Linked DNA regions of Lepisosteus oculatus. The protein of the gene in region 1 purifies or fractionates together with the protein of each later gene. This does not show direct contact. Links are inferred from orthologs where the notes say so. Each region holds a gene or a part of one and is shown in the gene's direction. Other genes may lie near its edges. The genes, in order: rpp21, rpp30 and rpp40.

The links.
Region 2: the proteins of rpp21 (region 1) and rpp30 purify together in Homo sapiens (co-immunoprecipitation; 3 studies listed by BioGRID and IntAct, counting the BioPlex papers as one, with this or other methods). This does not show direct contact. The link is inferred for Lepisosteus oculatus from reciprocal best matches to the Homo sapiens genes RPP21 and RPP30.
Region 3: the proteins of rpp21 (region 1) and rpp40 purify together in Homo sapiens (co-immunoprecipitation; 3 studies listed by BioGRID and IntAct, counting the BioPlex papers as one, with this or other methods). This does not show direct contact. The link is inferred for Lepisosteus oculatus from reciprocal best matches to the Homo sapiens genes RPP21 and RPP40.

What each region holds. Positions count from the first base shown.
Region 1 is NC_090708.1:10,611,854-10,622,571, forward strand, and holds the start of rpp21 (ribonuclease P protein subunit p21), read left to right. Parts: upstream 1-6,515; 5' UTR 6,516-6,610; intron 6,611-6,718; exon of another isoform or gene 6,719-6,792; intron 6,793-7,016; exon of another isoform or gene 7,017-7,181; intron 7,182-7,511; 5' UTR 7,512-7,555; coding exon 7,556-7,612; intron 7,613-9,225; coding exon 9,226-9,326; intron 9,327-9,691; coding exon 9,692-9,774; intron 9,775-10,396; coding exon 10,397-10,540; intron 10,541-10,718. Other genes in the region: pak2b (serine/threonine-protein kinase PAK 2b), read left to right, coding at 197-334, 750-836. UniProt on the Homo sapiens protein: Component of ribonuclease P, a ribonucleoprotein complex that generates mature tRNA molecules by cleaving their 5'-ends.
Region 2 is NC_090699.1:21,220,149-21,231,120, reverse strand, and holds the start of rpp30 (ribonuclease P protein subunit p30), read left to right. Parts: upstream 1-5,804; 5' UTR 5,805-5,855; coding exon 5,856-5,937; intron 5,938-6,271; coding exon 6,272-6,327; intron 6,328-6,417; coding exon 6,418-6,474; intron 6,475-6,950; coding exon 6,951-7,016; intron 7,017-7,108; coding exon 7,109-7,177; intron 7,178-7,563; coding exon 7,564-7,653; intron 7,654-7,999; coding exon 8,000-8,116; intron 8,117-8,256; coding exon 8,257-8,286; intron 8,287-9,942; coding exon 9,943-9,980; intron 9,981-10,972. Other genes in the region: kif20bb (kinesin-like protein KIF20B), read right to left, coding at 1-34, 746-892, 978-1,049, 1,424-1,535, 1,667-1,873, 2,070-2,133, 2,209-2,393, 2,495-2,633 and 3 more. UniProt on the Homo sapiens protein: Component of ribonuclease P, a ribonucleoprotein complex that generates mature tRNA molecules by cleaving their 5'-ends. Also a component of the MRP ribonuclease complex, which cleaves pre-rRNA sequences.
Region 3 is NC_090701.1:18,536,898-18,547,452, forward strand, and holds the start of rpp40 (ribonuclease P protein subunit p40), read left to right. Parts: upstream 1-6,501; 5' UTR 6,502-6,675; coding exon 6,676-6,792; intron 6,793-8,829; coding exon 8,830-8,974; intron 8,975-9,416; coding exon 9,417-9,485; intron 9,486-9,765; coding exon 9,766-9,861; intron 9,862-10,555. Other genes in the region: ppp1r3g (protein phosphatase 1 regulatory subunit 3G), read right to left, coding at 1-835. UniProt on the Homo sapiens protein: Component of ribonuclease P, a ribonucleoprotein complex that generates mature tRNA molecules by cleaving their 5'-ends. Also a component of the MRP ribonuclease complex, which cleaves pre-rRNA sequences.

The sequences.
Region 1 (10,718 bases):
CCACTTCAGATTTTAGAAAAGTTACCTGAAGGTTCAGATGGGTATAATTGTCAGAAATTGTTCATTTTCCACAGACTTAAGACTTGTACCAGCTGACAAAATGTGCATTGCATTCATACTGGGGAAGACTGATGTTGTCGGTGAGGGAGTGACTTCTACACGGTAATCAATTGCTTTTCCTTGGTTTCTCCAAAAGGCACTGTACCTAATTGCCACTAATGGAACCCCAGAGCTACAGAACCCAGAGAAGCTGTCGCCCATCTTCCGGGACTTCCTGAACCGCTGTCTGGAAATGGATGTGGAGAAGAGAGGAGGTGGCAAGGAGCTGCTGCAGGTTAGCCTTGAACAGAACATCAGGGCCTGGTCACTGAATTACCACTGTCGTAGTACTCTTTAGATTTAAACAAGATTAATTTTGATTCCTGCATGAACTGTCACTGACCGCCATCTTTGTTATAGTTGACTTACTGTGATTTTATAACTTGGTCAACAGAAAAACTGGTCTTCGGGAGTTAAGGGCAAATAGAATTTGATGTCATTAGACCTTTTCTTAATTTGCTTGGATCTTGTTGATTGAGATAAAAGGTTTGCAAAAAATGTACCGATTTGAAGTGCATGAATCCATTTTCGTTCAGCTCCAGAAACGTTAGTTACCAAATGAACAATGTACCAGGGGTTAACCTTAAGATGGAAATGTGGTAAAGTGTTGCCAGGTGCATTGAATCCCTGTGTCTCTTGCCTCTTCGTAGCACCCGTTCCTGAAGCTGGCCAAGCCTCTCTCCAGCCTGACGCCTCTCATCTTGGCAGCCAAGGAGGCCATGAAGAGCAACCGCTAGCCTGTCTGCACTGCTGACATGTGCCAACTCCCCCACATCCCAGAGGATACCCAGCCCTTCATCTTTGTGCTATTCACTGCGGATCCTCCCCACGCAAAGAGAAAACCACACAGCCTGATAGACACCAGGTCTGCACTGCTGGCCTTAATGAACTTTTCTTTTACTCTCCAGCTGTTAGTCTGGCCTAATGAACCTCCTGTGAGCTCACTGTCTGAGGGCCGGATTCTGTACTCATAACTGGCAGGGAGAATTGTGACAAGGAATGAGAATATATTTTATTTTTGCCTGTGATGCTTTCACTTGATCAGAAATCTCCCAATTCAGTGTTGATTGTGAATTTTTATACATTTATATTTTTTTTTCTTCCCTCTTTAAATAAATTCACTTAAACTCATTCCTCTCTCTGTCCCTCCCCAGTTCCACTTAGGTATCTAAATACTTGAATCTCAAATCTCAGAAATCCTTCACGGATTAACTCTTCAGTCCATCACTTGTCAGTGTTTCTTTTATTTCTTCCTGGTTTGTTTTTAACAAAAAAACTGTTTACTGTACAAGAGTAGTTCTTTCTCTAATTCACTGGGACTTAGGAGGCTAAACCTTCAGATTTTTTTAATTTGTTTTAAAATTTTTGTATATTATGTACTTAAAAGTGGAAACCACAGACTAGAAATCAGGACATTTTGACTAGCTGTTTTATATATATGTATATGTATACTGTTTATTTTGTTTTTAAACTAACAATCTGACATGACGGTTTAGCAGAAATTTTAAGTATTTGCAGTTTTCTCTTTAGGTAGTTTTGATGTGACAAATGGTCATCACTGTATTTCCATTTACATGGAATCTAACTTTTCATTTTTGAAAGTAAAAGCCTCATATTGGCAAGATCAAAGAAAAAAAAGCTTTGGATTCAAAGTTTTCTTCCCCTCTCTTTCAGTAATTTAAGATTTAAATGTTCATATTATTTTTTATTTTGGAGACTGGAAACTAAGCAAGTGGATTTGCTGAAGCCTATTCCAAAAATGTATTTTCTATTTTATTTAACTTTGGATTTTTTCAGTAATGGTTCAGTTCCATAAAAACATTTTTGGAGACCGTCATCTTTGTCATTCTTTTACATGTTTTTTTATACAAGTACAGTGAAAGAGTAACTGGATACTGTAGTCAAACAGGATGTGCATAACATTTTTAGACTTTTAGTTTTAGTTCAAATGTAGAAAAGTGGGAAGAGAGACTGATAGAAACACAGTTTTAATGGGTAGGTATGTCACACCCAAGATACAGTATTGTAAGGCATGCAGGCTTCTGTCCTAAGACACAACGGGGACAGAAGCAAACATTACCACTTGAAAGTGAGAGAAAATGTAGATAGGTGTCTGTGTGTGTAGGTACTGTATCGGCTTCAAAGAGGTAATTCTGACATAAAATAGTCAACCTAGAAATGGTATTTGAGATCTTGACCTGTGGTCCAGGGTGTACTGTTGAAACTACTTTCAACCACTTGTATATATACAGTAAGTAATGGCAAAGCCTGGCTCAAGAGATTGGCTCAACTGTAAGAGGTTTTAGAAGTGCAAGGAGTCAAGAACAGACCAATTGAACATGAAAAACAGGTCTGGTAAAATGCTGTTTAACTTGACATCTAGGAGGCAGCAGTCCTACCAGTGACTCCAAACAGCTTATAAGACACACAATTCAAAGGGAAGAAAGCAAAGTTTGGGATCAGGGATGTCCAATCCTCGTTCTGGAGGGCCAGTATGTCTGGAGTTTTATATTTACAACTAGATTCCAAAGAAAACGTTTATTAAGCCTCCCCCTGAGGCAGCTAAAACTAAAAAGAAATCTTTCTTTTTGTGTCAAAAGTATGCGTGATAAATGTCCATGTAGCCAAAGAGACTGGATTTTTTTATATCTATTTCAAAATCTATTACTTAAGTTATTTTAACACTTGGTTTAACCCATGGATTTGCAAGGCCGCATAAAAATGCATTTTGTCAGACTGAGTATGACGGAGACGGGGCAGACAAGGTAGTAGTCATAAATTTACACTAGCACTTTCTCGTCTGCCATCTTTCGGCTGAGACGTTAGACCGAGGTCCTGACTCTCAGTGGTCATTAAAGATCCCCGGGCATTTCTCGATAAGAGTATGGAGTTATCCCAGTGTCCAGGCCAAAGTTACCCCTCAGCCTTTACCGTGGCCTCCAAATTGTCCCAATGTATCTATCAATAAAGTATCTATGTATGATTGGCTTGCATTGGCCCTGCGATGGACTGGTGTCCTGTCCAGGGTGTACCCTGCCTTTTGCTCGTGGCTTGCTGGGTAGCTCCGGCTTCCTGCAATACTGTATGGTATAAAGGGTTGGGCAAATGACATGACTTTCTCATCTGCTGCCTGACTTTATTTGCTGAAATTTAGATAACGTAAAAAGGAATGCATTTTCAAGAAATATTAATAGCATGGTATATGATATTTGCAGAAATTTAATGAAATCACCACTTAAGCATTAAATTAAGAATCAAGGATTCAGCACTGCAGCTAAAAAGACGAAACAAGCACCTTATTTGAAAATTAACAGTGTTATATGTGCATTTCCGTGATGCTTTTCGCCCTCAAGGACTCCAAAGCGCTTTACAGGAGAAAATCACTTCTCCGCCACTGAGCAGCAACCATCTGGGTTAATGTGTAAATGAGACGGCATCTCCACAGTTTGGAGAAATGGAACATTTTTTTTTGTTTCCAGGCCAAATGGTGCAACCCCATTGTGGGATTAAGCCAAAATACAAACGGTGTCTGCTGGGATGGGATTTGTAATAACTGTAAGCAGGGCTGCAGTTTAATGTCGCTCGTTCCTTGCCGGGTAGGGTCCGGCAGGTCGCGGCGATATGGCGCCTGTGTACCGGGGGCGTAGCCAGGAATTGATTTTTGGGTGGGCCTGGCTCTAACTGACCGTCCTGCCAGCATAGGAGCACCCCTCCAATTTACAATGCAATCTTCGAGCAGTATAATCAAACAGCGGAATTAGCATAACCCTATATATATACTGTCTCTCACACACACACGGGTTAAGCAACAATTACCTGGGCTGGCGAACGCTACTGATTGCAAAACGCAAGATTTAAAAGCCGTCCGAAATATTGTATTTAAAATGCTGAAAAGAGAAGAAAGAAAACACAACGTTTCGGCCGTGGAGCCTTCTTCAGGTTCTTTCTTCTCCTTTCAGCAAGGAATAAACCTATTACTTGTTCCTTTGCAGCCTACGCATGCTGACGCAGCTGCCCACTTGTATTTAAAATACCATGCAAGGTTTACCGTGACCTCCGTGAAGTTTGGGGTCGTGACGTCACTCAGCCCCCCTACAATGTCGTAGGGAAACCATACCGGTCTCATTCGTTAGTGCTATGTTTGTGCCGGTTTGTGTTGTTGAAAATAACTTCCCGGCTTCTTTCTTTCCCGAGATACAGTATAGCGCCCTTTTGGGGGGTGAGGTCACTCAGTGAGAATCGACACTCTGATTGTGCAAAGCGCCACAGCGGAAGTTCGGAGAACGTGTAGATACACAGGTGATGGATGTTTTTCTTGGTCCAAATACTGTCGCCCCGGTTAACAGTGTGTGCTGTATGAGCACGCTGGATATACAGTAACACATCCATTGGTTTCCAATTACTAATCAATCTAAGCGAAGTCGCACTGAGGTCAAAACTGAATAGCAGACAAAGAATGTCTTGGCATCCACAGCGCGTTCATGACTCCAATAGCATGTCAGGATAGGAGTGCGCGCATCACGATCACATCGCGATAGCCATTGCGACTGGCGCGACAGTAAGTCCATATATTGCGATATGACATACACCGACAAAACGCCCCCGCCCACATATCGCGATATGACAAAACTGCTATGCTTATGTCACGACATGAAAGGTCCTATATCGCGATATGACAAACGCCCACCCCACCCCCCCATGTCGAGACACGAAAAGCCCTATATCGCGATATGACAAACGCCCACCCCCCATGTCGCGACATGAAAGGCCCTATATCGCGATATGACGAACGCCCCCCCATGTCACGACATGGAGTCCATTTATCGTGACAATGACAAAGACTGTCACTCTCATGTTGCGACACGAAGCCCATATATCGCGACACATCCTATCTGGGTATATTATGTTTTGATATGAGACCTTTGTTGCGACAGCGATGACAGGGTGGCATGGAAGCAAGGCGCCAGTTGTGATATACACTGCTGCAATATACATGCGATATATATGTGGTCCTTATCATGACATGCTGTGGAGGTCTTGTCGCGGTGGTATCCCACAGTTAAGCGTTTGGCAACAGCGTGTCACGGTAGGGAAAGAAAAGGAAAATGTACCTTAGAAAATAAAAACTATAGATCTTACAATCACGGTGATTTTACGTACGTTACAACCTTAGGTTTATGTCATAGATGGTTAACTTGTTGGAATGCGTCATGTGTTAGTATTATTCACATCTAAGGAGGCTCGACCCCGAAAAAACAAGGCGCTATATCTCGGAAACGAAAGCAACACAAACGCAGTTTTCAACTGCACAAACGTAGCACTAACGACTGAGGTGGGTTTCATCGTTTGTGCTGTCTGTAGTGGGGGCAACTTCACGGAGCTTTTACCTTGCCGTTGAATATTCAGCGGACTTCAGCATAACATACCAGAAGAGCGTGCACGCACGTATGGGTTTCAGAGGTTGGAGTAAATGCATCGCCCCAAGGGTAATATCGAGTGAGGCGCCATGAGAATAAAAAGGTATTAAAAAATTAAGTTCTGAAGACACCCAATTTGGAAATTCGTGACTTCCAACAAGACTCAACACTGAATTGTTATAGTCGCATTACAGTGCTAACCAATTCATAGTACCTTTAATTGCAAGAATGGTCTGCTAATAAAAGTGTCAAATACATACTTTGGATGTATTTTAGCTCTGTGAACGTCGTTCACTTAAAAATACTACAGGGCATTTAGAGGCGATCTGAATAGTTATCAGTTAAATGCACACTCGCATCTATCCGTCAATAGTATCTTAATGCATTCCAAAACTTGTAATTTGGTTACAGGAGAAATTTTTAAAACCTCTTCCTGCTTAACTCCTACATGTCGAGCATGAATCGAGCTGCTACAAGCAAACGCGTGCACCTGTGTTCGGGAAGCCAGGCTGCAAATCTTAAAATCCAAGATGCCTGTATCATCTCATGTGTCTTATTTGTTTCGGGACTGGTCTGGTCAGCTACAAGCTGCTTTTTGAAAAACGTAGATATATGTATTTGTTTTGCCATATTGGTTAATAAACCCAAAACCTAGCGCTAGATAGCTCTAAGAGTCTCTGATGACAACGATAGCCAATTAGGCTACTGCTACGCATGCACCGCCCCACTATATTTACATAATTGTCTTATTGGCCACAAAAGATACCGCGAGCCAATAGAAAATCACATAAGAAGAAAAAAATAAAACACGTAACATTAAAAAGCAAATCATATAACGCAAACAAAAAAAAACCATATTTAAATTACTTTACACTGATTGGGTAGAACTAGGATCAATCAGGGTGGCCCACCCGTGGCTACGCCCCTGCTGTGTACACCGGTTCCGCCATTGGTAAGCTGCACTGGGCAGCACCGCACTCTCATAGTCCCCGCCCTGGCCACCACTGCTCCCGTCCTGTCCCTCGCCGGGCACCCCAGCCGGGCGCTCTTCGGCCGCAAAGCCAAGCGAGGGCGTTACAGTATAAAGCGGTTCGGTAAATGAAATGACATGACACGACATGATAAATTAATCGTTTGAAAAACATGCATATGATGTGTAACTTAAAAAACAAGGAGCTCACCAGCGAGCCAGTTTGTCGCATGGCCGGTTAGCTCAGTTGGTTAGAGCGTGGTGCTAATAACGCCAAGGTCGCGGGTTCGATCCCCGTACGGGCCAGTTCTTTTATCTTGTATTTTAATGTTACATTTGTGATTTGTTGTTGTATTTCGTAAATAATTTAACCTGATGTTTAATCTAACCTGCTGACTGCTACCAACGCATTAAATTCCTTCATGCCATTACGACGTTCAACAAAGTACCACCTTGGCACCATTTTTAAAACGCGTTTTGCGTTTGTCTATACAGTGTGTCCTTATTTGCTTACCATCCACTACAAAACTTTATTTATAACAGAAAACAGTATCTTAGGAACATCTTCAATTGTTGTTCATTGATTTTCATGTGGTTTTCTGTAAATTAGAAATTGTGCATGATTGGATTGTTAAACAGATGTAAACTTACTTTTATCAACTTCTGCGATATATGATCGACCTCCGGTTGTACACGTGAGTTATACTGTCGCAAGTTTACCTCGGAGAATTCAAAGTTAACGATTTTGTCTTTAAAAACGATTTACGGAAACACCGCTGAAAATGTATTATCCAATAGATTTGCTGAGGAAGAAAAATTGTTATTTCGATGGCTTATACTGTATCCAGTTATGCTGAATGCAAAGTAATCAAAACAATAAAATACACACTGTTTTCAGAATCAAATGACAGTAACAAAACATCACATATAACAAATACGCTTAACACAATGAAAGATTAAGTTTGGGAATTTACGTTCTGCTTATACGAGAATATGACTAAAGATCGCTTTATATCCACTCCTAGATTGTCCTGGATCGTCATTGGTGCGTCACAGACAGAACTACAGAATGACTGGCAACATCAAGGATAAAGAAGCCTTTCAGAGACTCAACTTTCTTTACCAGGTATTATGGTTTTGCCCTGGAATGGCAGTGGAACTGCAGTTTCTATATTACAATGCAGTTTTGTATAATTTGCAGACCAAACTGTGCTCAGTCGTAGCTGACTACTCCAAATATCTCGAAACTCATGCGCATGCTAAATATAAATATGAATACTATGCTTCACTGCTCTTGATTATATATCTTCTAATCACTTTTTTGATAATTAGCCACAGTGTGATTGGATATGCTTAGTTTAGGTTAAAACTATAGAAAATATACCATACATGAGACGCATAAAGAGAGCCTTTCTTTGGCAAGCACTATTTTCCACAAGAAAGCATTCAGATGGAACCTTATACTGTAGAATAAACTCATAATTAAGAAGTACTGTTGTCCTCGAACCAGCTACAATGTTGATTTCATGTAATCTCATTGCCCCTTTGAATAGCAAAAGGATAGTTCTGGTCTAAAATTATAGATGTTTATCAACACCTGTATCTGGTCTTTCCAACATAGCCTGTTGCAGTGAAGGAACATTTTTGTGCAAAATAGGTCGGGCTTAAGTTTTATTCACTTTTGTCTCTGATGCATTAAATACATTCAGTGAGGGACTGGGTATGTTTTTGGTTGGAGTTTCTGGAAGGAATATATTTTATTCCATTATATCAGGGCGGTGTACTGATAATGGCAAATAATTTTGATTTGTTTGTGTTTGAGAAGTATACTGAACATCAAATAAACTTCTTACATTATAACTGCAACAAATTCAGAAAGTATTATCAGGAAATACACCTTTTTGTAGGAGGTGCACTAATGTTTTAGAGAACAGATGCAACAAAGGGGTTCTTCTGTAAAATTGCAGCCTTGTGTCACCACCTTTGAAAACCGTAGATTTCCGATACATGTTTTGCAGCAGGTTGCAGATACTGTCTTGTGAGATTCTGTCCTGTTCTTCTCATAGAATGTGGACAAACCTGTGTCTGCTTATCTCACAAATTTTCAGTGTTGCTCATACCTGCTGAGCAGGGCATCCACAACATAACTCGAATTTTCTCGTCTCACGTGAGAAAGTTGTTCTTACCTGATCCGCAAGAGGACACGTTGTTCTGCAGGAATGTCCTGACAATAGGATTAGTAGTGAGTGAAGCCCCAGGAGTCATGTTGTCAGATTACCATCAGTCATTGCACGAGGAGTTTTGTAGCAACTACACACACTGGTCCAGACTGTCACTCTTGGAATTGTTCATCGAGATTGGGGAGGTGTCATGACCTCTGGTTTCACACATCGTGGCTGTCGTCGACGAGCTGTTTTCAGTTGTAACATCTGGCCAGATTACAATCACCAGGCTGTGAGGTTTGTTTTGGTTTTCATTTTTGATTCTCGATAGGCTTAACATTCAACAGGTTGAATCACTTTTCCAGTGACCTGTGCCCAATCAGCTTTCACTAATGAGTCGAATTAGTATTTAAACAACAGTCACCAGAATCATTAGAGGTCAGTGATCAAAATGATACCAAAACATTTAATCAGTTTTCCAAAATCCTTTTTTATTTTTCTAGGAACATGTATGCATATAGAGAATAGGTTCCTTTTAACATTTGGTGTATCACTGTTTCCTTTCCTCTGTGCACAGGCTGCACACTGTGTCCTGGCACAGAACCCTGAGAATGTGGAACTGGCCCGATTCTACTGCTTCACTCAGAAGACCATTTCCAAACGCCTCGTTCTGAGACAGTAGGTTCATCCACCTGACTCAGGGCCTGATGCGTCCTTTCAATACCTGATAAAGAGCTGTCCAGAGTACCACATACAGACATGGTTCTGTCATTTTATCTGAATGGAACAGAAATCAGTTTTGTACCGGTGACTAGTGTATTGCTAGGAGTTTCTTTTTATGTCCTTATTTTACACACCTCCTGGCAAATACTCTCTGAAGTATATTACGTAGATTAAGTATGCTAATCAAATTTAGTTATGAAATTAGCCATTACCTTTCCCATCTTTGCTTTGGATGCTAGACATAAATAGGCTGACTAATGTTTATGCACAAGCCTGTTCTGAATCTGTTTTGGTAACCTGATGGTTCACATTTCTTGCAGGGATCCCTCTGTGAAAAGGACACTGTGCAAGAAATGCTGCTCTCTCCTGGTTCCTGGAGTAACTGCAACAGTGAGACAGAGAAGTAAGTTTGGCAAAGTGCATTAACAGTACCCTCCAGATGTATTCACACCCCTGAAGAAATAGGAACAAAAAAACCAGCATAAAACAGTCAGATCTACAGACTAGATAATGAGCCCTGCTAATTGCTTTAAACACTACTGAAACCTTAATTGTATTGCAGAGAACAGAGTCATAATTCTAAGAAATAACCAAATGAAGAAAACGCAAGGGTCTGAATCCTATTTGAAGTATTGGGCTGGCTGTATTACAATGCTCTCCCTATGTAGTCGAGTTGCTCAACATTTTTTCTGCTGTCGGTAATATCATGATATCTAAATGGTTCAGACGTAACATGGGAAATTCTGATAATGTGATATTTTTTAACACCACTTAACTTTTTACTGCCAGGAATCCATTGTTTAAATCCAATTCTACAGTAAGAGCTCATCTTGGAAATGTACCTTTCATGGATTAATTTTATTTCAAAATTAATCTATGGGTGAGAGTCAGAGTTAAAGGGACGTGGTTTATACAGCTGACTATTCCATCTTTTTCCTTATGGGGGCAGTGTGCCATCATACCTCAGGCTTCAGTAGTGATAAACTGGGATTGGTGCTGTCTGATAGTGTTCATTTTGTTCTCAGGGTGTAGTCGGCGTCAACGAATGACAATGGTGAGATGTCTTAGCTGTGGACAGACCAAGCGTTTCCCTAACAATCCAGGATACCAGCTGTGGGTGGACCGGCCTGAAGCCCAATTAGAGAACCAACCACAGTTGGATAATACAGGTAACTCTCAGGTGACATTGCCTGCACAGCTCTGTCATTACTGCACTAAGGACTTCGAGAGCATTATATCCTACCATTACCAGACATTAATCTGAAGTCTGAAGGTAATGTGACGGCAAGATGTCATTAGGAAGTTCAAGTAGGTAGCTGTGTCGGCTGCAAAGGAACAGGTAAAGGT
Region 2 (10,972 bases), on another chromosome or scaffold:
CTTGCTCTCCCTGAAGGGTACGTGCTGTAGCAGCCTAAAAACAATGCACAGTAAACACCACGAGAGACAATTTAGTAATCTTTCTACTCTTTCATTTACACATTTCTCCTTTACACTCTTCCCCTGGAAACTGTGATCCAGATTTCAGTCTCTTCAGTTTCCCTGTTCAGCGATTCTACCCATTCTCTTTTGCAGTTCTTACCTTCCCACCCCTTTGCCATTCATACCTCAACACCCCTGAAGAACAGTGGATTTCTTGCTTTTAAGCCTAAAAAATAACCTTTACTTGGTCCCTTGCAGCTTGCAAACCAACATAGCTCTCCAGGCTCATTTTTATGAGTATTTTATACATTAACTTTTCTAGAAAAATGCTAAAAGAAAGGTTTTGCAATTGTTTTTTCTATTTAGGGAATCAATGTTAACGGTAATATTAGGGCCAAACATTCTCCAGTTTTAGAGAATCTCTAAAAATTATCTCCTGTCTATGCAGTATGCTGTTGCCACCTTGTGGTTCAATTGAAAATAAATTAAGCATCCTCAGAAGACAGACTAGTAAGTCCTAGAGTAGCACCAATCAAATGTTTTAGCTTATAAGCAAGTAAGTACCTTTACAGATATACAAGGGGGAAAAAACACAAAACAAAGGAAACAAATTACTGAAAACACTTTAAATGTACACAAATGATCATAACTACCCAAAAGTATACCAAGTACTAGTTACGAATGATAAAACTTAGCTTCTTACTTTGACTGCTGGTTGTGTCTCAGTGCTTTGAGACATTTGCCCAAGATCAGCAAGGAGCTATTAATGTTTCCTGCTTCTTTTAAGCGCTCTCCTTTGTTCTGGGTTTTGGCACATCTCTCCGATCCAGCTAGATCACACAATGACAACCTAAAAAGAAAAAAAAGAAGGTCAAACTTTGCATTTAAAAATCAACAAAGCAAAAAAAAAAATCAGTAGCAAAAGCGACACTTACTCGCTGATATTTTGTACACGAGGTATACCAAGATCTTCAATCCGTAAGATTCTGATGGAGAAAATGCTGTGGCTTTAAAGACAAAAACAATTGGAAGAGTTCAGTCCCTTATAAGAGTGTTCCAAAAACAACATTTCCATTATTACCATTAATTGGCTGATTTCATCTAAAGAAATACTTATTTAGATCCATTTCCATGGCTAGTATTTACTCCAACTGCACCCTTCTTAAAAGATAAAAGCAGTGTCCCACCAAGCATCTGAACCCACAAGTTTCGGTTACGAGTCCAGAATCAAATACTAGTGAAGATTCCCAAAACTGTGTATAATTTTTCCATTAGCAAACACTCTACATAACAGAATGTGGAAGGAAATAATGCAATGTCCCAAACCCCCCCCCCAAAAAAAACAAGCAGTTAGAATTACGTTTTTTTTAAATAGCATTACCTTCTGCTGGACAGATGATTCAGCTTTGTGCAGGAAAAGCTCTGGTGTTTCTTCCCCAATTTTAGAACTTTATATGCCTCATCTGCATCACTCACCTGAACCCACTTGAGATCTAAAAACGTAGAAAGACTCAGGTCTTTAAGATGTCAGTTCATAAATCCTATCACATATACACCTTAAAGAGTTCTTGTCCAACATCCCCACCAGTACAGTGAAGCCCAAAGAAAAAGAAAACAGAAATACCTTTTACAAAAGGATTCCCTTTCACATCTTGTGAGAGCCGAAGAGTACTTCTCTTCATGGAATTATTTGGGATCGTTTCAAGCAAGTCATAAATGTTTTCATTATAGATTTCACAAAAAGACACCCAGACCGAGTATTTGGAGTGACTGTTCATATCCAAAGTGAAGCTTTCTGAATCCAATTCTTCTGTGTTGTTCACAGCAGTGCCTGTGAAAAAACAGAATACAAACCCAAGAGGAAAAAACGATTTCAACAACAAATGCAAGTGTCGAGTTGATTGGCAAATATTCCACATAGCTAGCTTCTTCAAGAAGTAGTATTGGGCAAAACCCTTGTTTGACTTATATATATATATTAAAAAAATCCTTTAATAGGCCTTAAAAGTTTGAACGTGAATACATACCTTCAAATATGGCTGACTTGCTGGTCGAATTCAATTGAGAAATCATGCTTTTCTGTAAATCACACTGCATAGATAAATTTAGATAAGTAACAGTATGAAGCACAGGGAATACGAAAAGGTAGTAATTTCGAAAGATTACCTCTTTTGCTAATCGCAGAATGGTCTTTTTGTTTGCGATTTCCTTCGTGAGTTGCTCTTTGTTCAGCCTCATGTATTCTCTGCATCTCTGTGGTTTAATGTCCATTTCTGTATAGATTTTATCTTGAATGTTGTTGAATATCATATTCAAAGATCTTGGCAGAAGGCCACTATTGTTTTCGGGCCCTGTAAAACCAAAAATCTTATTATTAGTTACTAAGCTACATTTGCAACCATGGATGGTTTGTAATAACAGAAATAGCACAAAAGAACGTAGAAAATCACACCTAAAAAGGTGAAGGTCTTTCCAGCATTGGTTACTCCATAAGTAAAAACAAGGGAGTTTCCCCCTTGAAGAAAGTCTTTAACTAAAGACTTGACTGTGCCATCAAAAACCTCCTTCTGTGTTGCTTCTGGACCATAAACCTGAAGAAAGTGAACATAGAAAAAACAATGAGCATGACAGTATAACAAATAATCATGAAACATTAATTTCTGGTCACATCCCTTACATCTAGATGAGAATGTTTCATGGGATAATGTGCTAGATCTGGGTTCGACAACTCACCTGTGAAAACTGAAACCGCTGGGCTGTTTGAGGAAGTGACTTATCACTGAGCCGAGATGATAAAGAGCTCCTTGGGGCCTTGAGGAACACCTTATCTGGATTCTCAATGCTAACGCACTCCTGCACGTTTAAAGAAAGAAGAGAAGAGAAATTAAATCTAGAATTACAAGATTTGACACGTTACAGACGGTTACTGCTCACATTGCGAGACCCTCATGTTAAGAACTGGACACCCTTCGCTCTGCCTTTTTACCGCTTACCTGTGATTCGTCGCTGTCCATTTCAGCTTGTGTGAAAGGTCTGATACGAAGGTAAACCTGCAAGTGTTCTCTCTCCTGTAAGCTGGACTCCTGGAAGGCATATATGCACATTTTAAGAACGGTGCTTAACGCACCAGTGGAACTTCCTGAGTGGAGGACACTCTGAGCTTTCAGAGATCCTCAAAAGGCATACAACCTCAACTACAAATGAATGCCAAAACATACACAATCAAGAGGTATAAACAAGTAATCGAATGCATTGGAAACCAAAATTTTAAAATAAAGGGCAGTTACCAGCAAAAAACAAACAGCTTACACATCACCAAAGGAAGCTTATTATGCTATGAAATATATGGCACTATATTTAAATGTAGAAATTTGGAACAATCATGTCCTCCCATTTCTGTAAAAATGTAATATACTACTTTTGATTGCAAATCTGTTTAGAAAAAGGCTACGTTACAGGGCTAACTTGTCTGTTACCCCTACGCTGGGGCACAGGGCTGTTTAGCTAACGTGACAATTACCGATTAACCATGCTTAGCATGTGATAGAGATGCATCATATAACACCTTCTTAAACTTTAGGTCAACAGCAATTTAAAATGAATTAAATCAGTTCTTTTAAAAGCAGCTTACCTCAGAAGTAACAGAAGACATGGACAAAAACTCTCCAGAAAGATCTTTTTTCAAATCCTCTATACTCACAGCTTCTATTTTTTCCAATCTGTCATTAAAGCAGGATTCCATCATGCTATAAAAATATGCAGTGCAAAAAACAGACATTAGTTTCAAAATTAGACAAAATTATAAGGTTGCAAAATAGTGGAGACTCTCTCTCTTTTCGTATTTGGCAACTCGGTGAATGTGAAATTTTACCTAACCGATGGAGCCCAAGGTTTCGGTTTCAAATATATGGCTGGGATGCCCAAGAGTGATATCCACAACATTTTGTGTAATGCCAACACAATTACTATTTTCCATCCTAAAACAATTCCTTTTTTCGTTTCCAATTATGACCCCACGTTCCCGTTATCAAAACAGGGTATTGGGTCATAATATTTAATAACATTTATCTGAAGTACTCCCTTGGACTAACTTTTAGGGCTACATATGAATTAACCAATCTCTATTCTAGCATTGAGAAATTGTATTCCTTTAACCTCTCTGCATATGACAATTCCCTGTGAACAGGAATTATTCTCACAGGTGTGCTTTGAACTCGAGGTCAAGAATCTTTCTTTGGTATGCTGACTAAACTAAACAATATTCTAAATCAGGTATTAAGAAGGCTCCGTAAAGTTGGACATAACTTCAATATTTAAATTCTACAATTTGTTAAATACTCATAAATTCTGCGCACTTTTATTTCTACAATGCTTGATATTTTGGATATTGATATTTCTCCAAGTCTTGATAACAAAGACAAATCTGTATTAACATACACATTCTTTCATGTGTAGCCTCCTGCAGATCTACAGTAAATCTATGCAAAATACTCATTGATTATTATTATTAGTGAAAATAAATAATCTAATATTTTCCCCAAATGTTTACACTTGTTTCTTATAGCTTTTTAAAGTTTTATATTAATTATCTCTCTGTGATTGCATTACACGTTTCTGCTTCACCTGTAACTCAGAATAATGTTATTAATTTTGGACCTGTTTAGGCAGACAGTAGAGAAATTTACTGCTCATAGGAAGGAAGTGTTCTCCTATTTTCTCCATTAGATGTCAGATTTTCCGAGTCCCAGACTCTGGTTTACAGATTAATATACTTTTTTTTCCTATCCACGCCCTTAAATCAAACACAAGGAGTACAGTAAATCTAAACTTGGCAAATATCCCACCCATCTAACTAGGACCTAGTTTTCGTGGAATTGAATGACCGATACATCTTTAACTATTAAAGAATTTATTAATCAAGCAGGAAAACACCCATCAGACAAAATGACACTTGACAATCAGCCAAACAAGCAGCTCACATGATAAACAATACCAATAAATTGCATCTCCCCAGAAACACCTATACACCGCAATCTCCTAAACCACTTTTACATTTAAAAAAACTTGAAACTAAAACGTAATTGCGTTGTATAAACCCTATTGGTTTTTTAGGGGTTAGAACTAAACTACTTCGGATTACCTCACGTTGTTATTACTTGGAACGGAAAAAAATAAGTGCAAACAATTTAAAAAGTCGCAAATCATAGCAACAACCATTTATGCACAAACATGAATACTTTCTGAAATACAACCAGAAATATCACCAAACTTACACAGACAATGATTTTTTTTTTCCCCCCCCGAAACCTTTTATCCAAACCACAGCACTCCGTTCTTCATAAATGATCGCGGTTCTTATTTTTAAAATCAACCAATCAGGCGTCACTAGCGAAGAGGGTCATGGGAAAGGAAGCGGAACTGGAAAGACGAAATTGTTTTTCTTTTTTTTCCAATGGGAATTTGTATGGCTATGAAATACAGCTTTATAAATCATGCGTATTCGAAAAAAACCTCCAGTAAAGTCCCCAATATGATTAACTGGAGATGCAACATTTATGTTAAATTCAATTATACTGTGTTTAACAGTGTTTAGATAACAAATAATACATATGAGCGTAAAAACAATCTCTTAACTCTTACAAAACAACGAGAACTGTACACACAGCATATTCAGAAATACACTAAATGTTTATCTAATTTCTTTAAGATGGACGGTATATTACTTAGCCTTTACTACATTTCCCATGCAGCACCGGTGCGGACAATCACTTTAACCCTTGACATGAGCTCTGTGTGTCTCACGTGGAACCAACATGGCTGTTTTTGCAGATTTAAACATAAACTACACTGATGATAAAAAACAGCTTCGGGATATTATAGAAACTGCAGCACATCGTAAGTATTGTTTTCAAAGAAAAAGTTATAGATAACGAGTAACTCCCAAAAAGTACATGGTGAGAGCACATGTTTGATTTACAGATACAGACAGTTGGATGCATACATCGTCAAAGTGAGGCTTTTTTACTTAAGTCAAAATTACAACTGTACTTCGCTTTGTATTTATAAAGCTTATTTACAGTGAGCTGTTTGCTTATTCTAATTTTCTCTCCTAAAACGTGCTAATTTTAACAGTCCCTATATTAAAGCTGGGACACTTCTTGCTATTATCCGAATTTAAAACTAGGCTCAAACCCTTTCCCATCTTTTTTTTTTATTTCTGTCTTTTCAGTTGGTTATTCCACGGTGGCAATAAATCATCTGATTGATTTACAACCAAAGAAGCAGGTAACAATCGGGGTACATTGTATGTCAATCATACACCATCAAAATATTTGCTAAATGTATGCCATTGCTGAAATCATGTTTGGTTTGCAGGAAATAAGGAAACCTGCTTCTGTTGATGAACTGTTCAGACAACTCCCTGTTGTACAGGTACTGTAACGATGTTGTTGTGGTGCTTTTCTGCATTTATTAAACTGGCATAAGCGTGCTGTCATTCTGTGTACTTGAACTGAGATGGCTAAATATGATGTCAGTAAAGTCAGCTCTTTTGTAGTACAACTTTGTGTTTTACTTTGTGGAGCTTTTGAGCCTGACAAGGCTGAGCTGGATGATGGGTTTGGTTCAGAATCTGGAGCACAGTAGACACTTAACATTGACTTGTCTACATCTGATGGCCTGGGACACCTGTGGGGTAACAGCTAAACAGCTTATAAACGTCACTGAATAGAGTTCTCAAGCCAGAGTTCTTCATCTTTCCAGTTTTAGTCATGGGTATTTTGCCAATTTCAAATATATAAATGCTGCTCCTTCGTTAAAATAGTAGCGCAGCACATTTGCACTACTAATTTCTCTCCAAGACAGACTGAAGAGTTTATAAACTAAATGTATGCTTCTTTTCTTCCTAGGGGAAATCCAGGCCAATTAAGGTGTTGAACAGGTTAACACTCGGAGTTTCTGATGCATCTCACTTTGTAAGTACAACATTTTTGCTGTGGAATGTGTTATAAATGACAGTGCATTTATAATATTATGTGATCTTATTTTTTTTTCCTTCTTTTCCTAGAGGCCTTCTGCAGATTTGAAGTATTATGACCTTGTGGCTGTGGTCCCTAAAACAGAGAAGCTGTTTCATGTATGTAGGAATTTAGCTCTTTTGTTGCTTCTAAATCACAAAAAGAAAAGGAGAAGAATACTAAATAAGTAGTACTGCTTTCAAATTATTCTTAACACGATGTTTTACTAATAATATTAAAATAGATAGGTATCCATTTTCTAAAGTCAATTGTAAACATATTCTTGATTAGAGTGTCGGTCTGGAATGTCCAGAGTTAAAAGTATTGTATTTACTGCAGCAATTTGCCACTTGATATTATTTTTTTGCTGATATGTGGATATGGTTTTTAGGATACTACAAATGTTGACAGATATAATAACACCCCTCTTTGCATCATTTGGATTTTGGTAGCCTGACAGCCATTGTCAGAAATGTACCTACTCGTGATATTCGTGTGTTAACAGGCAGCCTGCATGACATTTGATGTTGACATAATCTGTATCACTGTCACGGAAAAGCAGCCTTTCTTTTTCAAAAGACCTCCCGTAAATGGTGTAAGTACATTATACCGTACCTTGTCAATTTAGATAATTGCAGAATTTTTGTTTTCAAATCTGTGTGTGCCTGATTAATTAAAAACATTCCAACTTTGGATTATCTCTATTTTGAATACATTGATACTGTATATTGGATAAAAAATAATTTGGCTAGGAGTCAATTGGAAGTACTAGTTGGAAAAGGCAAGATGGGAGAAAATGACAAAATTTCAAGTTTTTTAAATTTAAGCATTTTTAAATATTTCAGTTATTAATTCAATGGATTCTGGACTAGGGTATTTGTCAATATAGCACATGCAAATTACAGCCTTACGTTTGGTTAAAATATGTTTTTGCTTTCCAGGCAATAGACAGGGGAGTGTTCTTTGAGATCACTTACACCCCCGCTATTAAAGACTCTACCATGAGAAGATATACAATCTCAAATGCACTCAGCCTGATGCAGACTTGCAAAGGAAAGGTATTTATTTCAGGGAGCATTGAAATATGTCAAAATGCTGTGTCTTTGTGAGCACAAATTTTAAAATATGCATGTTTGCCTAACAAAGACAAGTGGTGACAAGCTAATTGCTTTACTTTTTACTTTTTTTTTGGTTGCAGAATGTCATAATATCCAGTGGAGCAGAAAAGGTATTTTCTATAATTCATTTCTCTTCCTATTACAATTTCAGGAACTACTGGCATTTTTAACTCAAATGCTATAAAATACTGTTAAATGCACATTCCGTCACACATTGACATTTATAGATAGACACTTTATTTGCCTTTGGCTTCTCCCACAGAAGTACAAACACAAGCAAAACATAAGAATCACATAAAGTCACATGAAATCACAAACAACAATATGTAATACATAAATAGTTGAATAAATAAATAGGTAGAGGGGGGGATACATTTACATACCTTCATTGATATAACAGAGGGGACAAAGGACTTCTTATAAATGATTTTATGTGATTTTGGTCCCCTGTGGCGTCTCCCTGATGGGAGGATTATGAGCTGAGAAAGGAGTGGGTGTGTGGAATCAGCTGTGACTTTCCTTGCCGTTCTGAGAACTGCGTTATGACGTAATTCGTTGAGCTGGGGCGGCTGTTTCCCAATTATTTTTCCTGCCATTTTCACAATTCTGGACAGTTTGGTTTTGCTTTTCAGCCCCAGGTTTCCATACCAGTCTGTTATGTTAAATGCCAGGCCGCTCTTGACAAGGCTTTTATAATGCCATCTCTAGGAGATTTTGACTAACATTAAAGTTCCTGAGTCTTTGGATTCAAAACACCCTCTATCTTGCTTTCTTAAAAATATTGTCTATGTTCTCAGTGTAGCTCAGCCTCAGATCAATATGCGTTCCCAGATATTTAAAACTCTCCACAACCTCTACGGACTGACAAGAACTATTGTCTGCAAAGATTGCCCTCCGCTGGTCTAAGCATTGAAAAGAAGCTCTTTAGTTTTGCCACATTTATTTCCAGTGTGCGGGATTGGTACCTGTTTTCAAGAATACTGATGTTTTTAAAGTAAGTTTGCTCACCCAGATGTTGGTCCTTTAAACGGAGTCCCACGAAAACCATGTCATCTGCATATTTAATCAGACTGGCTGTGTACTTTGAATCTTCACCTCATTAGTATATATTGAGAATAAAAAAGGTGACAGTACACGTCCATTCAAGGCGTCTCTCTGAGGTCGATCTGTAAGGGAATCTTTGATCCAGCATATAACATTCCCATTTGAGTCACACAGGCGTTGTAAGAGAGTATGAACTTGCATGGTGTTAAAAGCAGGGCTAAAATCGATTAAACGAGCTAACGCAAAAGAATTTGAGTGTTGAAGATGCTTGGCTATGGAATCAATTAATGTAAGTGTTGTGAACCCCTACACAATATAGGGACCAAAGCAACAAAAGGACTACAGCACCAGGGCTATACTTGACAAGGAAGGAAATGGGGTATGAGCAGTAAAGTACACAATAGATGCTGACAGGCTAGTTCAGAAGCAGAAGCTAGTGAGAGATGGTATACTTCTAATGGTTGGTGGTAGTAAAGCTTCTCTTCTAGACCCAAACAGGTGACCAGCAGGAGCCTAGAGAGAGATAAGAAGGTGTAAATTTGTTATCCAGCCCTGGAGGAGCAACAGGGCCAAGAGTACAAAAAGACTCATCTTTTGAGGCTGTAGGACTATGTTGCTGCTTGCTGTGTCTAGCCTTCCTTTAAATGAGTTTTGTAAGACTCTTTTTTTCTCGTGCTTTTTCATTTTTACCATTTAACATATATTATCTTTTTTTCCCACAGCCTTTGGACTTGAGAGGACCTTATGACATTTCTAACCTGTATCCTTGTGTTAAATATTTGTGGTATCAATTACTTATGCTAACATTTGAAATTTGTATGTAAGCTAATTTGTGAGCTTAATGTGATCTTCAAAATGAGGGGAAAAAAGAGGCACATCCAAAGGTAATGAGGTGTTGTCCAACAGATATATATATTAGAAACAATTAAAAAAACACTATATACACTATGATATAAATTCCATTTTGATTTCTATGACTTGGGCAGGTGTTCGACACAGAATTGCACTAGTCAGGGTGTTCAGATGTGCCTCCAAAGAGGTCAGGTATAAGACTTCTGCAGTGGCAAAATGCTGAAGTCAAATCATAAAGGAGTTCAAAGTGTGAATCATACATTTTCTTAAGATTTTACCAAAACATTCAAAAAACATAAAATTTACAAATGAGGAGGGGGCAGTACAGCCCATCTATCCGATTAGGTTGCTAATAATTAATTGATTCAAGGATCTCATACAAATGTTTCTTGAAAAAAGCATGAGATGGGCTACAACAACATTTTCCACTCCCACAACCCCTTCCATGTAAGAAGAAGTTACCTGTTGTTCTCAGTTGTAAACATGCTGCCCTGTAGTTTCTCTGTTAATTCTGAAAGCATCCATGAGGTTGACTTATTTAGTTTTATATTTAAAATTGTGACAACGATGCAATAAAGCAAGGTGTAAACACATAACATATTGTGTATCTGAAATAACCAGTGACAAAACATCCTTTAATAGCCTGGGGATAGATCTTACATGTAATTACCATTTGATCATTTGATATTTATAATGCCTCTCTTTATAGAGATCCTTACAGCAGTCCAGCTGAATGATGTTCAGTTCTGTAAATTAACTGGTATTCCACTGAATTGGACAGGAAATGCATTCTTTGGCACCATGTTGAGAACTACAGAGCAGATAACATTTCTAAATTTAAAAGAAGATTAAATCTAAAAGAAGACACAGAGTCTGTGTATGTAAGTGTGTTGTATGTAG
Region 3 (10,555 bases), on another chromosome or scaffold:
ATGGCGACATGCAGTGATACCTGAAGGTGTAATTTTGGCCGTGGTTATTGTCCCAGAATTCTCCAATGTCCGTCTTGCAATAAACGGCAAAGTGGACTGAGCAGCTGGGGTCTAAGAATGGGGGTGTGTACATCGTGAAAGAAAACTTCTCACCGCAGGTAGTACTGTCTTCGCCTGGCACTGCTACGGCTTGCGCGTCCACGAACGACAGCCAGTCATTGAAAGTGTACCTCACCCCTATTTCTCTTCTACTGCCGAAATGAAGCACTCTCACAAGCCCTCGGATGTCAAAATGAGTGACCGTCACCTTTTCCAAAGCCACTTTGTTTTCTTTCACTCTATTTTCGAAATCGGGTGACTCCACGGGCTGTTTAAAAGTAGGCACCAAGCAGTCCAGTGTCAGGCTGGCCTTTAATTTGTCACAGAGATCGCCGAGAAGCTCCCTGTCTTGTTGAGGAGGGTAGGTCTGTAACCTGGAGAAAACTTTGGATGGGATATGCGGGTCATCCGCAGCACTGAAGTGCTTCACACTGGCCAAACTGAGACCCAGCGCATCTGCAAACTGAACCCTTTTCCTGCAGCTCTGAGAAATCTCATTGAACAAGGTGGCTTGGTCCGGATAAGCAGGCAGAGATCTCGCCCTCCTTCTATCTTTTAGGAAAACGTCTTGCTGATCCAAGTGTGCAAAACCGTCAGCATGTTTACTGCAGATGTCTGACGGCACTTCTCCGCCCCCCTTTAGATTGCTGTGTTCCACGGCTTCAGTCCGGAGAACGGACCCTTCTGCAGTTCTCGAGTCGGACGTATCGTTGAACTCAGTTTTGTTTGTATCCATGAGTTGTTTTCAGTGCAAGCGAGTGCACGTTTAGGGGGGAAAATTGCTCTGACTTATTGTTGCTCCCCCCCCCCACCCGTGTTTTTAAGAATATCCGGAGAGGTCCGGGAGAACAAGCTGCCTGTTGCTGTCCAGCATCAGCTAGTTTTGTGGTGCGTCACAGCAACGTAACTTAGAAACACAATATTACGGAAATAACCAAACCAAGAAGAGACACACCGGGCAACGAGGCAAACAGCACGTACTGTAGAATATTATAGGCTCATTATAATAGTGAAAGTAGCCTGTGGCTATTTAGACATAATATTGGCGAGCATGCGTTTCGAAATTGAAATTATACAGTAAGTTCTATTGGGGAGGTGCGGCAGCGGGCGGGTTGCAAATAAAAAGCCGTTTAATTCCACACTGCGTCGAATGCGCTTTCTTTGCGCGCTGCGCTACATGTAATATCCAGGCAGCGAACAAAAGGATCCATTTTGGTATAAACCCACATACACTCATTGCACACAAGAGAGAAGACTTCTAAACTATAACTGGCATTTCCTATTCTCAGTACAGTTTTGAAGTAGAGTGTACAGTACATACAATATAAGCTTGACCCTGTTGCGTCTGACATGGGACAGCTGTTTGAAATAACGCTGTCAATCCCAACAGGCTTTATAATTTTTTGTTAAGTCTGTCTTGTACTTCGTTGTCCATATACAATCACCGTGAGGGTAAACGTCTGCGTATGTAGCGATGACATTTGATTTATAACAGGGATAGCTTTACCGCATTGACATGTTTTAGCATCCCTGTCATTAATTTGCACTCAGCAGCTTTTGTTACGCTTAAGCCTTTCACTCGTATCTCGTTGTTTTAAAGTAATTATTGGCTAACTATAACAAGAATAACATGATATAACGCATATTTTGCGTGAAAACGTTTTTTTTAAGTCAACAGATAACTCAGAAGTTACCAAATGTAACGAAAGAATATCGGATAGTTTACCTTTTAACAATAAATGACTTAGGCCTGACCACAATTCTAAAAAGCGTCGAATCGTTAACGGCTGAAACATTGAAGTGCTTTTGAAGCACCAGTGTTTGTGTTTCAGCAGTAGTACTGCATAAAACCCTTGATGAACTGGAAAATACATAAAAACTTTTTGTCAAAGCTACTTACAGCACCATGACTAAGTCTGTATAACTTGCCTCTAAAACCTTTCCCCCCTAGGGGGAAACTATACAATATGCTGCCTCATTCATACAGATAAAAGGTTATGTTGGTGATATGAATTATTTATTTTACATTCGGTAGACACTCAACAGTTGTTAGAGCACTGTTCGCGTTATGCAGTGAGATATACAATCTAAATAATATATATTTACCATTTTATAAGTAATGTATGTATTGTAATGCAAGTAAGTCTATGCTTGGATAATAACAACAAATGCTCAACAGAACAAAATAATGAAAATGGGAAAGAATTTGTAGAAATAACGTCACACAGGAAAAGCAGCTTGTTCATCATATCACATCTTTAAATATGTCCTTTAAACCCAATGGTTTGAACTCAGTTAAGTAAATCAGCATAAATTACATAACACAGACTTTGCGCATTTAAAAGCTAAATGTACTAAATACGTCACAAAGAAGGCAAAAAGTGTACTATCACAAATATCTGTTTTGATGACCAGTGAACTACGCACATATTTGTTCGCTCGTGTACCTGAATAACAAAGCACTGCGGGAAAAAAAGCGTTTATATTGGAGTGTCCGGTCCAAAGACTGACCGCGCTAAATAATGCAGTATTATGTAATATTATACTGTAGATCCCGCATCAAAAGCACATTTAACACATGCTTTTTTAACTGCGTTTTTCTGTTTGATTTTAAAGTCCAAGAAACACTTTTGCCTAGTAGCATTGCTTAACAGAAATCTGTCTCCATCTACTTTTCAATTTGCAGCAGCCTAACAGAGTACGACATCGGATATAGTTGTGTCGCATTGTTGCATATCAAAACTATACTGCCTTCACCAGCTGGAATTAACATTATGATCCTTATTTTTTTCCCCCGTTGTAATGGGTACATTTGGTACTTTTCTTAAGATTATTCTGAAACTGAGAAACGAAAAGCTATAGATATTCAATACATTGTTTCAAACGGGTAGACAGTAAAATTAAAAATTCAAATTAACATTTACGTTGATAAGTTCTGGGCACGATATGCACAGTTTGGTATAATATTTTAATAGTGTATAATTTAATTGATTTACAGTAGTACAGTAAAATTACCATCTGTTTAGATTAAGCAGTGGTAGAATAGCAATTATAAATTCAGGAAGATAATTGAGTTACATCTCTGGTAAACAAAAAATATTTTATAGAGCCCCTGTTCCCCTCTTCATCTATTAGATGAGTCAATATTATCACATTGTAATAAAGGCTGATTTGTTAATTTAAATGTTTTTTCCCCTTAATTGCATCTGGTAAATAAAACTGACATTTCCTTCCAAAGGAGTGTGCTGTGGCTCCTGTCTTCAGAAAATTTAATGAGACCGCTGAAATAAAACATGTCACAAAAACAAAAACTTGTAACAGAGTTTTCAAAAAATGGTTCCCGTGAAAAAAGTACTCAAAGAGATTAATTAAAAACCACTCAAAACAAATAAAAAACATTGGGAAACAATGACGGCCAAAAGCAATGAACAAAAAATACACACTAAATGTGTATGATCTTCTAGTAAGAGAATGGAACAAAATCAGAACACAGCGTAGGTCCAATTGCAAATCTCCAGATAGTGTGCAGTTGTCTTTTAAATGCAATAAAGTCAGTAGTCTAAAATATTAGGAACCCCAGTCAAGTATATAGACCACAACAGGTAATATTCTGGTCAAGGAGCAGGAGGCAGAATTTCATCACTTTCTGACCAGGATGATCCCCAGATGTTTATCCTTGTAGATCCCGTGTCTCCTGTGTTTGTAAACAGAGTGTAAATGTCACCTCCACTTGGGTGTTGTAGCCGAGGTGCAGGAACTCTCTGGTCATGGATTTACTTGCCTCCAAAGAATCAACCCCTTGCCTTGCATTATTTTGAACCTGAGACTACACATTGGGCATTGATTTGTTGGTGCACCTTTGGGTTGGAAATCTCCTTTGTACTGTATGTTCCCAGCACTACCTCTCCTTCTGCAGTGTCTTCTGCATGTGAGGTTGGACATACCCCCACTGTCTGCTAAATTCTGGTGGGAGCATGGAGACTCCAGCTGCCTGTTAAGCATTGAGTCCCCACCAGGGACCTTTGTTTGGTTGTTTTGGTACGTAAAATGACCAATTCTGCCTGCAGGATGAGTGAGCTTAAAGGCTGATGGATGGAGACTTTGTGTTGAACCTGCACCTCATTGCGCCGACTAGTCTACCCTTTTTGCCAAGATTGCCTCAACCCTGTGTTCATGGTGGCTTGGGAATGCCTGTTTCCATTCCTGATGACTGCAATTTGTCCTTGAAAGAGCATGCTAGGCCCTCTAAAGTATGTACGGTCAAAGAAACAAAGTCATCCACCTTTGTAAGCCACTTTTAGATGGCTTCTTATTCTATCTAACAATAATGCGGCTTAAACCACATCACCCCAAGTTCTACAAGAGAAGGTTGGACAGGACTGATGTGGCAGGGTACCATTGACCTGATTTGGCATTCAAGCTCAGTAAAGGTCTCTGAAATGCACTTTCCCATTGGGGATCCCCATAAGTCCTTTTTAGGGATCCAGGGCTACTAAGCCTTTCCCTCCTCTGCATACTGCTGCCATCTGCTGGAATGGACAGGTTTTGGGAATGGGAAAAATGCAAAACTGGCCACCCCTGTAACAACTGGCATGAAAACGAATTAAATCAAAACGAATTAAAACTGCACTGTTTTTATTTTATTTTTAGCACTTCCATTCAAGTAAGATTGAAAGAATCTAAATAAAATTTAAAATTTAATCTGAAAGGGCCTGGATTCTTTTCTTTCAGCGCTATTTTAGTTTTTTTATTATGTGGTTGTCCTCTGTTTGTGCAATGCCCCGTTGGGTTTTTTTTAGAAACCTTAGTGCAAATGATTTTTTGTTTCACCCAAAATAAAAATCTGAATCTTACTAATTACTCCATTTTACCGTTTTATTTTCTAACTGTTAAAGGAATATTGTCTATCCAAAGGAATTCCATGCATCCATTTTCTAGCTGCTTCTTCCAATTCAGGATCACAGGAGAGCTGGAGCCTATCCCGGCAAGCAACAGGAGCAAGGCAGAGCAAATAAACAGTTGTATTTAATTTATGTGCCAGAACTCATCTGGAGCACTTCTACAACTAGAGAATGTAAAGCACTTCCAACACCTGAACATCATCAGAGCCACACAGCTTTGATAAACAGTCCTCTTTTATCTTTGCAGTTGGTTCTTACTCAGGTCTGGTGAGCATCCAGGAAACCAGTAATGTGGTGTGGAGCTGCATACTGAATTTGCTCTTCTGTCGCAAGGACCCTAACACCACACCTTAAGATCTGTTCACTTTATTGGCCATATACAATTTCTTGTATAAGAACAAGGACAATGTACATTTTTCTGGATTACACAATAAACAATGACAATGGAAAAGTATCACTGGATGAGATCCACTAGCTACTAAAAGCCAAACCCACTCAGTAGATACAGTAGGCTGAATACACCCCTGTAGTTTGAAAACATTATATTATTTTACATTAAAAAACACAGATACTGTATATATTGTCCAATGTTACAAGCTCTGTGGGAATGTTCCAACACTTTCAGTCTGAGCTGAATTAAAGTCCTCCAGGGTCCTGGGCAACCTCTGTTTCCTATGCCCTGTAGATGGAGGCGTTTTTAAGAGTGTATTGAATTCAATGGGTAGATAGGTAATACAAATTTAGGATTTTGTTCGAAAACATATTTATTGAAGAAGAGATATTTGTTACAGTTTTATCATAATCATAAAAATGCTCAAAATTTCTCCATAAACGGTTTAATTTTCGTACGTCTTTGGCAGTCTTTGGATAATACGGCCCTGCAAACATTGACGTCTCAGGTTTGAAAGCCGCATTTTTTAAAGCCCTCCTTAAATACAAAAGTACTATTTTTTATGGTTTCTCGCTTTCCTTCTTACGAAGGTGTTTCTTGTTTGTCACTCACATTACCGCACAAAGATGATGTACTGTATGACTGTATGGAGCACTGGTTAAACCTCCGGTTTATAGTATAACTCGAATATTGTGGACTCACTTCTTACGCGGGGTTCTGCTCTTCTGCTACAGTTGAGCAAAGAAATTTACTATTATTGCAAAAATGTCTAACTGTATAAATGTATAAATCTATATAATATATACATTTAAGATGATTTAGATAAAAGTATCAGGGACATTCGAAAATATGTTATATGTGTTAATAGAATATATAGTTTGTGCTTCCTAAGCGGTTTGCTGTACTACATAGCCTGTACTGAATCTCAAGGTTTTCGTATCCCTGAGTTTGCTGCATCCACAGCTAAAACACCATGAAGACGTTTGTGTTTGCGCAGGACCTGCGCTTGAAAAACTACACAGCATCAGCAACTGCGTGCGAGGTTAGTGACGTAAGGCGCAGATTGGCAGGTCAAATTCGCAGCAGGGAGCACGCGACAGGAAGTGATGTCATCTGCGTCATTTTACAGCCTACCATTGGCTACTCAAAGGCGCGTGTACGAAGTGGTCAAAGAACCAAAACAGAAGAGGAAATACTTCTCATCTTGAGCCTTGCTTTTGCATAAACGAAGTAACGCGTTGAATCAGCTTTGATGAAGGCACTGTTTTGTGCTTGTGACTAACAATGCTGACTGACCTGGAGAAGTGTCCAAGGCATTTACTGGTGTGTGAGAAATCGAATTTCTTGAATGAAAAGTCACGTCATGACGTCCACGTGGCCGGTCACTATTTTAACTACAAGGTGAGTGGTGAGTGTTGAGTGTTGAAAACGTGATGTTTTTTGCAGACGCAAAAATAAACGGTGATATTTTAATATGCTTACTTTACAAAAGAGCAAAAGCATTCGGTCGCTTCTAATAAGACAGTCTGCGCTAAAAGGCTATACAGATTAAGATCTGATTTACAGTATGTTGTCTCCAGGGAACAGCTGCATGAAATGAACAGAAACTGAAAATGAGCCAGAACTTCCAGAATTCCAAACCACCAGAGTCCTATAAGCAGAATTCGTGTATACCACATCATCTCTGTCTTCTTTTTGCTTCTATGTTCCTGATAGATTCTTCCACTCATGTGGTTACGTCTTTGATTTAGCAGAATCCTACCGGTAATTTGGAGTCTTATAAGTGATTCCAGGGCACCTTTTCAAGTCTGATTTCGTTATGTATTCCTGGTAGATTGTTTTCTTACAGTATTTAAATATAATAAGAGTGTATGCATCTTGCACTGGGGCAGCTTCAAGTGAAAAATACTGAGAGTCGTGGGCTGTAGAATTTGCAAGGACGATTTTAGTTCAGAGACAGATGTCATTAGGAAATTAATCTTCGAGTGACAGAAACAGGAAACGGTGACGTCAGACAGAAATGCTGTTTGTAACCTATGTTGAAAAAATATTGGCTTTTATAAAGACGGACAGAGTAAAGGTCTGAAATGCCCGGATGTATTTACAAATCATATCCACTTGTATCTAAAGACTGACCTATGGTGATTCTGCTACAGTACAGAATTTATTTTGAATTTTGATTTTACTGAATTCGTACATCTTGGTGTTTTCTAACTTCTTCTTCCAATTCAGGGACACAGGGGAGCTAGAGTCTATCCTAGCCAGCAACAAGTGCAAGGCAGGATACACTCTGGACTGGATGTCAGTCCACTGCAACTGGGAGAAACACAGACAAACGCAGAGAGAACATATAAACTCCACACAGATATCACCTCAGGAATTGAACCCAGGGCCCCAGCACTGCAAGGCAGCAATGCAAACCTCTGCACCACTGTATCATCAGAAGCACTAGCAAAGTTAACCTATGTGCTTCTTCAGAATTAACACTGAAACGTGAATCGGAGACATACGTGGAGTCTAAGCAGAAGTGCAGGTTAAAGTGAGAACAGGAGGCACTTCTTCACACAAAAGGATGTGGGTGTCTGGAACAAGCTTCTGATGCCATCTGCTCTTCCATGAAATGCCTGGATAAGATCCTTGGATTGACTTATGACCAACCGAATTAAATATATTGGCAAAAATGGGCTTCCCTCATTTGTAATGTTTCTTACGTTCTCATACAACATTTTTCTACATCACAAAAACACATCACAAAAAACTGAATATTGTTAAGGTTCATAGGTTCAGTTTTTATGAATTCCAGTTGTGCCATCAGTTTTGTCACTTAAAAGCAATACATTGGTTTCTTAGAAAACAGGTTGGTTGTTATAAATTCTTTTGTTATAGTGTGAAATTAGTTTGACATGCACATTTTCATTTTATGCATCTTATGTACTCCATTGTATCAGAAATCTGAATTGAATTTCTGTTTTTCAAACCATCCTTTAGAAAACATAGTAATCGCTTTTGTGGATTTACAAACACCAATCAAAGGTGATTTTAGTGTGTTGGGACAGTAGAACCAGCTGCCTCCAGAAAACGAACAGAAATAAAGCAGAAATTAAGATTAAGATTAAACTGTTTTTTTATCAGTGTGGACTGTAGAAATGTTTGGTCAGGGGAAGTTGTTTTCTGGCAGAAACAAGTGTGTACATATGTATTTTGGTACAAGTAAATGTTACTTTCCCCATGCTGAAAAATATCCAGGTGTGAAGAAGGCTCAAGGGCCAGAATGTTTCTGCTTTCAGTGTGGATTAACCCTCTTCTTCCTTCTTTTTTTTATAGCAAATGCAAGTTGATGCAGTGCCTCATTCATATGCATTTATGCCTTTTGCTAAAAATCTGACAAATAGGAATTGTATATCCTAAATTATCCCTTTTGATTGTTCTTTTTAACAGGTTTCTGTTTTAATTCCTGAGTGTGGAACACTACCATTGGGGCTAAAAAGCATTGTGAATAGCATTGCAAAATATTATTTGGTGAAGAACTTCCCCATCTATAAAATACTGGAAGAGAAGTTTCTTGAAAAGCAGGTGAAAGCAGGTAGACCTGTTTTAATTTTCACTGGAGTTTGAATTTATTAGTGGTCGGGTTCAGTCGTTTATTCCCATGATTGATTCTGAGAAAGAGATTGAAGACACACCACTTCTGATTCCCTAAAGAAAAAATCTGTCTGCTCGTTCATGTGAATGTCTTCCCATTCCTAAGGCGCAGTGTTCTGTGCATTAAAATGAGTAGCATCAATATGGATACTATATTCACACCAAATGCAAAATGGAATACTATGACAATGATTATTGTCAGACATTATCTGGTTGCTTGGCCTTGTGTGTTATACTGTTAGATGAAGGCACTTTATGCACAGTGCTTGGAATCTGTGGGAAACTTATGCAGTCCTCTGTGTGTGTGAGTGCCCTTTTCAGTGTGCCTGATGTCTGTAGTTCTGACTCTTGCATCTGATTTGAAAGTTTTTGTATAATTGCAGGATCCCTCTGTGCTCTGTCATACAAAACCAGAATAGACCAAGACAACACTTTTGCACTTCTTCCAACGGGTAAGATAGATCAAGACGATTTTACACTTGATGAAAGACAGAACTCCATGAATATGCCTGTCCGTGAAGACCATATGTTGATTGTTTGTAATCCTTTTATCCTGTGTACGACCCTGTGCCATACTTGAGCAGTAAATGTGTGAAATGCTCTCAATTGTAGCACAGAATATCTGTTTTTAGGCGTGGGAACAGTAGTAAAGGAAGGAAAAGTGAAAACATCTTGTTATTCGGGTAGTTTTTCTATGATTACCTTAATAACTAAAATGCCTTTTAATTGCAGGAAAACTAGTTTTATCTCTTGATAAAGACACCTACGAGGACCTAGGATTGGAGGGCCAACCGTCACAGTATAACCACAAGGTGCCTGTGAGATATGGTGAGTAGTGGCTTGGCCGTGCTGTGCCGAGGTGGTGGAAATGCATGCTGACAAGGTTGCACATGCATACTATATGTTTGAAAGAGGTCTTCTTTATATTGAAGTCTCCTTTACCTTCAGTTACTGCTTATCCAATTCGAGGTCCCAGTGGCCCGAAGCACCGAGCGCAGGCAGGATACACTTTGGATGACACGCCAGTCCATGACCGGGCAGACGCAGACATGCAGACACTCACACTAGACCCAGTTTTCCAAGAAGCCAATAAACCTACCAGTATGTATTTGAAGCGTGAGAGGAAACCAGAGCACCTTTCTGAACACGGGGAAACCATACAATCTCCACGCAGCACCCCAGGAATTGAACCCAGGGCCCCAACACTGTGAGGCAGCAATTTATTTTTTCTCCAGATTTCCAAATCCTTTTGTTTATTAAATAGTAAATGTCATTTCTCTTATTTAACTTTGCTTTGGTGTTCTTTTTAATGTTGTATAATAATGTGATTTTCACTCTTCACGTTCACTGCTTTTGCCTTATGTTTGTAAGTTTATTACTTACAAACCCTCCACCACCACCAATGTGCAGCATCCACCTGGATAATGCGACGGCAGCCATAGTGCGCCAGAACGCTCACCACACATCAGCTATCAGTGGGGAGGAGAGCAGAGTAATGTAGCCAATTCATAGAAGGGGATTA